Caenorhabditis elegans: one gene and its partner. The protein of the gene in region 1 interacts with the protein of each later gene in a pairwise test. Each region holds a gene or a part of one and is shown in the gene's direction. Other genes may lie near its edges.

Region 1 (2,985 bases):
TCTTGATTTTCAAACATTTTAGTAAAATAATACATTCTTGAAACGCTATTTTCAAATCAGTTTTTCCTAATGTGCTATGTAATTGAACTGTTCAACAGAAAGTAATGATTGTCGTGACTTATCAGTGACTTTTTTTTCATTTTTTTTGTACCAACTAGTGGTCACCCATCATATTCTTGACATACACTTTATTGATCCAAAAATTTCTGTGTTTAACATTGTAATAGTTCTAAGAATCGGATAAAAAAACTTTATTTTCAGCTACGTTTTTTAAAGCAAAAGTGCGAAAGAAATTATTACACATTGAATTTTATTGTCAAACGATTTAATTTAGTTTTTTCTTCTGCAAGAAACTACATACAAATAGAACTTCATCTAGAAAATTTAAGGAAATAGTTTGAATCCTGACTATTACTATTATTTGCTAATTTTTTTTCTTCTTTTCATTCTTTCTACTACAGACATTTTCAAGTATTTCAGTGTAATGCAAGTTGAAGAACCTGTAATACTCTACAAACTTCGGTCAACAGATGGGCAGAGATTTCTGGCAGATAGGCGAACAATCGGAATGATAGGACGGATTGAGGACCTATTTAGAAATGCTGGATTAGACCTGATTCCTGCCGATCAACTGCAGCCAATTCAACTAGAAATCCCTGCGACAGTGATGAGGAAAGTGATCGAGTGGTGCGACCATCATAAGCACGACCCGCCCTACGACGAATCTGAACCGGAAACCAATGATATTCCTGACTGGGATGCGTCGTTTCTGATGGTGAGGCACAACATGCTCTTTGATATAATCCGAGCCGCGAGGGATTTTACTGTACCTGGTCTCTTCGCCATGTGCTGCCGTGTCGTCGGACAAAATCCTAGAGAGATTATTGACGGATTGGTGAATGATGAAGAGGAGGAGCAGCCAGTATATCCAGTGGTGGCTGCAGCGGCTTAGGAATTTCATTTCAGATGTGTGGTGTTTCGTATGGTATGGGAAAATTTAGACTATTTGTTTTCATTTCAGTAAATATTTGAAGTGAGAAAAATGTAATCATAAGATCAAAGTTGAGCCCATTTTTGAAATTTTTGTGATAATTTGGGCAACATTTTAGCAAAAGTATTCTTCGTCTTTTATATTTTACAGAAAAAATGCAAAAACCATACTAATTTTGTAAACAATGCAACTTTATTTTTCAAGTTTGAATCAAAAATTCTCTTCTCGATTCCCTACAAAAAAACTTAAATACAACCACCATACTTCTCAGCCACCACCACATTTAATGCTAATTTCCCGTGTTCAACCGTCTTGTATTCAATTTTATTTTCTCTGCTTCTTCGTTCAATTTATATTTTAAAACTTTCGCTGTAGATTTGTAATATAGAAAATTTGCCTTTGATCAACTTGACTCACAACGCCATTCACTTTTCTTCAAAAAATTTTACAATTCCAGTTTTTAATCGTTTCATTCCATCTTTAATAAATTCATAGTGTATTCTTCCAGCTCTTTTCCACAGGTCTATGATTCGCCAAATAAATAATAAAAATTACTTTAAAGATATCTCATTTATATATTTATTTTTGTGTGGTTTGAATCCACTCAATAATATTTTTGAAACAATTGCAAAACTATTTAATCAATTACCTTTAGTTCCACATCATGACCACACCACGATCTGCGCCCTTGTACAAACTGAAGTCAGAGGATGGTCAAATTTTTAATGTCGAACGAGGACCAATGAAATTTTGTGCATTTATCAATCAGAAGTTTATTGACCATGGAGTGAACGACAGAAATTGTGAACGAGCAGATCCAATTCTCGTTCCATTCCACTCATCGATTGTTCAAGCTGTAATAGAGTGGCTTTACCATTATCAGGACAACCCGCTCGCCCGACGAGACTCCAAAATTCGTTACCACGATTTTTCCGAATGGGACAAGCAGTTTTTCAACGTGGAATCGGGAGTTCTTTTTGCACTACTCAATGCTTCTCATGCGCTTGGAGTCGAAGATTTGATGAATATGGGGTGTGCAGCCGCAGCAGAATTGATTCGAGGAAAAAGCACGGAAGAAATTCGCAAGATCTATGGAATCAGGTCAGATGAAGAACAAATGGAGGAAGCGTTGGCAAATGGTGGAGAGGGAACATCTGCAATGACATTCACAACGGATTCTGATTGATGTTTAATTTCACATATTGTGAAGAAGATGTTTGAAAGAATATATTTATACACTTTGATTCAAGTTTATTTGTGAATAAATTATTTTACAAACCTCATAAATGAAAAATTGAAGTTATAAGAATGTAAAAGAATAGTTGGAAAACAAAACAAACAACTAAAGTGTCACTACTAATTAAAAAATTGCTTAAAATTAAATATCAAAGAACCATATGTAAATCAAGTTCTCGTTGTTTCAGAATATGAGGTGAGCCCCCAAATTACCGGATTTTTATTTCCGATTTTTTCTGATTTTGCATCCAATTTGGCCGAACTTGTACATTTCTGGTGTTTATTGCAAAATACTAGGTTTTAAAAGAACTAAACGTTTATAAACTTCATGACGGAATTGAATGCAGCGTTCTGATTACTAAATCTGGAAAATTTAATAGTGTGCTTTTTTTTAAAGTTTTTTTTTTCATCTGCCTTAATTTGCCCTTTTTTGTGGAATATTATTTTTCAATTTTGTTAGTTAAGTAAAGTTTCACTATGCTCAATTCTTCAGACTTTGGGGGGATAACTTTTTCGAGAGTTGTGATTAAAAGATACATAATATTCATATATCCAGTGCCGGTTGTTTCCAATAATAGTTTTTATTGTATAGCTTTTTTCATGCTAATCCATTTCATCTAAAATTTTTTATGTATGCATTAGGACATTGCATTAGGACATGATAATTTCATCAACAATTTTAATGAAAACTGAAAATTGAACATTGAACAAAAATGTCAACAATGTTATACGAAAATTGTATATAGTTTTTCAAAAAC
Region 2 (4,062 bases), on another chromosome or scaffold:
TTTTCCTCATTTTTTGGATTTTCACTGCAAATTTAAGAAATTTTACGAAAATAAACGTTTTATTTCAAATTCTATTTGCTACTTTGCATGCAAATTGTTTTTTTTTCATTATATTCTGAAAATAAAATAAGTTAAAATTAGCCGTTTCAAAAAAAGTTTCCGAAACTACGGTAGTTCTCGGAGTACGCAACTTGCGTACCGGGCATCTCATTTGACGCACAGAATTCCTAGTTTATTGTTTTTGGATTTTCAAAATTTCAAACATAGTTTTTGCATTTTTCCTGTCGTTTTTGTGATTTTTATTTGTGAAAATTTATTAGACAGAAAAGAAATTTTCAGTTTTCACGAAATTTACTGGAAAATTTGTTATTTTACCGTTAGGTAACGTATTTTACAAAGATATTTCACTTTATCCGTATTTTCTTATTGTTTTCTTCACTTCAAACGATTGAAAACTGAATCAATCAAATAAATTTCCTATTTTTCAGGTAATTTGTCAAAATGACTGGCTCATCTCGTGGAATTGTCGAAATGACAAAGAAACTGGATCGATTAAATTGTTAGTGTTAAAATGAAATTTGCATCGGATTCAGTTTAAAATTTGCTTATTTTCAGATCGAAGAAAAGACCACTTACGCTTTTAAGCATGCCAGTTGATGTTATGGAGAAAGTTATGAAGAAAGTGGATCCATACGATTGGTATCAAATTTTGAATGTTAGGCAAATGTTAAAAAAAAACCAAATGAGTTTCAGGATTTCCGTCCGCAATTCCAATCGAAATCTTCGAGATTTCGTCGACAGCCAGCACCTCAAATTGGACATTGATGTTTCTATTGAGGGCACTTTTCACACCATTGATATCAATGGAAATCAATCCTTCGGACCTTTCCATCCGGTCGTGGCTGATGATGAAAGAAGAACCATCTACAATAAAAGACTACAGTTTGCTCTCAGAAAATTGTTCGTGGTTATGAAGCTTCCAAGTGCCCAAATTGAAGAGTTCAAACTGGATTTTGACTTTATGGGAAGAGGAAGTGACGAATTTGAAGATATCTACGATATTGGTTCCAGAAGAGTTAGTTTTAAAAATAAACTGTTGAGTGCAAGCCTGAGAACAATCGATAAGGAGTTTGGAGAGTTTCACTGTTTCCAAGCGAAATCAGTTTCTCTGAGTGGACTAAAGGAACCTCGAACTGTGCTCATTCTCAAATCTTTCAAGTCTGGAACTCTCGAGAACATTGAAATCATTAATTCCTACAAGTTCTACTTCAGTTGGCAGCTGACGCTTTCGGAGCAGTGGAAGAATGCGAAAAAACTGAAAACTGGACTTTCCACTGATCGCTACACCGGAATTCGAGTTGCTGAACTGTTCGCATTTTCAAATATCGAATTCACAACTGTAGTATTGTCATCTGATTTGAAAGTGGTATAGAAATTCTTAATTATTGATTAATTAATTTTAGATTTTTTTTCAGTTGGTTGATTCGTCTGCAAAGCTGGAAACTTGTCTCAGCAGGAACACGTATGACAGCGAGGATGACAGCGATGAAGATAGTGATGAAGACAGCGATGATGAGGACAATAGTGGAGTGTTAACGGTGTCAAAAGAAGTGCTCAAAGTGTTCGATCCGAACTTTGTTGGCTATAACGGAACAATCAATTACAAAGCAAATGGATTCGAATATCTCATTGAAGTCACTGAATTCGAAACTAAAATTGTGAAGAAAATCGAATAATCTTCTCATTTTTCAAAATTTGCTTTTGTTTTACTAGTCACATGAATTCTTATTTTGTTACTTTTTTTGTTTTGAAACTGATTAAACCAATAATTTGGGTTACGGCTGAATGTTACCTTCCGTTTAATATTTTGTAATCTTCCCAGTTTTTCTATATTTTAAAAGGAATTCTCGAATAGTTAACAAAGATCCTTTTCCAAACTACGGTAACTCTCAGAGTACGCAGTATGCGTACCGGGCATCTCATTTGACGCACAAAAATTCTAAATTTTTTTTTGAATTTTCAAATGTGGTTTATGCGTTTTTCTAACCAATTTTTTGTGATTTTTCCCCTGAAAATGATTTAAAATAAGTAAAATAACCTGTTTTTGTAAAAATTAATTTCGTTTTTACACATTGAACGTGATTTTCTATATTTACTCAAATTAATTTTTTTCAGGTAATTCGTCGACATGACTAGCCAAAGAGCAGAAATTGGTGAAACGACGGACAAGCAGAATTCCATGAAATTGTTAGTTATTTAGGCTACAATAATTTCAAATAACTTTTTTAAAACACATTTTCAGATCGAAGACAAGCTCGCCGACGCTTTTTGACTTGCCTCTGAATATTATGAAGAAAATTGTGAAGAAACTGCATCCATACGATTGGTAAGATCAAATAAATAAAAATTATATTTTTAGAAAGTATAATAAAAATATTTTCAGGATTTCCGTTCGCAATTCCAATGGAAATCTTCGAAGCTTCATCGACACCTTGAAACTGGATTTGGACATTGATATTTTTATTGAGGGCCATAGGTACACCATTGTTCTCAATGGAAAATCATTTCGTTATCGGTATAGATTTGTGCCTTATGATGAAATAAGCAACGCTCGCAATGAACCTTTCCATCCGGTCGTGGCTGATGATGAAAGAAGAACCATCTACAATAAAGGACTACAGTTTGCTCTCAGAAAATTGTTCAATGTCATGAAGCTTCCAAAAGCTCAGATTGAGAAGTTCAGTCTAGATTTCGACTCAATTGGAGGATATGAAGACTATGTCCACAATGAACGGTTGAGGTCAAGCCTGAGAACAATCGATATGGAGTTTGGAGATGCTCACTGTTTCCGAGCGAAATCAGTTTCTCTGAGTGGATTCAAGAAACCACGAGCTGCGCTAATTCTCAGTTCTTTCGATGCTGGAACACTTGTGAAATTTGAGATTATGCGTTGCATCTTCAACGATATTCGTCCACTAACTTGCTTGGAACAGTTTAAAAATGCAAAACAATTGCGAACTGATCTTAACATTTGCTCCGTCTTTGGATTTACTGTGTCGGATCTTCTTGGATTTTCAAGTATTGAATTCACCAGTCCAGAGGTATCGCCAAATGATCTGAAAGAGGTATAGCAATAATCAATTTTTAGTTGATTTAATTAAAATTCTTTCAGTTGGTAAATTCGTCTACAAAGCTGGAAACTTGTGTCGTCAGCAAGCAATTAGATGATAGTGAATCAATTGCAGAAGAAATGCTCCAAGAGTTTGATCCTACCTTCGCTGGCAAAACCGGAACCATCAATTACAAGGCAAATGGATTTGAATATGTCATTGAAGTCACTGAAGAGCGAGTGAAAATTGAGAAGAAACTCGGCTGATTATTTAATTTTAATTTTTGTTTTTTGGTTTTTCAAAAATTGTTGTTTAATTTATTGTTGTTCATCTCGTTCTCATGAATTTGCTTTTGTCATTTTTCTTTGATCAACACTGGAAGGCTAATAGACTACAAACTAGACATTTTATAAGCCTAAGCCAAGAAAGTACATTGAAAAAACGTCGCTTCCGGTAAAGAAAATAAATCAACCGAAAGCGAAACTTGACTTTTTTTTGAAAATTATTTATGGAAAGTTCATGTTTTTAGTCGTTTTAGTGAAAAAATTTAAAAAAAAAAATTAAAAAAAAAAAAAAAATCAAGTGCTTAAATAAATTATATATTTTTGAAAAGAAAAATGAATTTATTCCTGCTCTAAGCTACAAATTTGTCATATTTTGAACCTTTCTTCTAGAAATTTTAGCTGAAAGTGAAGAATATACTAGCAAAAATTGTAAATTAATTTTTTAAAAACGTTTTTAGAAATTTTAAATTTTTTCACAAAAAAAAAATTTCCCAAAGTGTTTTTTCAAAATTCAAATTTTAATTTTATTACAAGCCCAAAACGTGTAACGAGTTCTATAACAATGATCTGGACCGCAAAATATGTCATTTTTGCAGCTATTTACACATCCCTTCGATGCACCATGGGGGCTCATTGCTCCAGTCATTGGCTATTTGGATACTATTAAT

The links.
Region 2: the proteins of skr-20 (region 1) and fbxa-101 interact in a two-hybrid assay, tested with the Caenorhabditis elegans proteins (one large-scale study listed by BioGRID).

The regions. Positions count from the first base shown.
Region 1 is NC_003284.9:13,222,208-13,225,192, reverse strand, and holds skr-20 (Skp1-related protein), read left to right. Parts: upstream 1-1,655; coding exon 1,656-2,177; downstream 2,178-2,985. Other genes in the region: skr-19 (Skp1-related protein), read left to right, coding at 485-952.
Region 2 is NC_003279.8:12,958,046-12,962,107, reverse strand, and holds fbxa-101 (DUF38 domain-containing protein), read left to right. Parts: upstream 1-2,175; 5' UTR 2,176-2,188; coding exon 2,189-2,247; intron 2,248-2,302; coding exon 2,303-2,386; intron 2,387-2,443; coding exon 2,444-3,125; intron 3,126-3,172; coding exon 3,173-3,376; 3' UTR 3,377-3,468; downstream 3,469-4,062. Other genes in the region: fbxa-140 (F-box domain-containing protein), read left to right, coding at 647-699, 754-1,426, 1,476-1,736.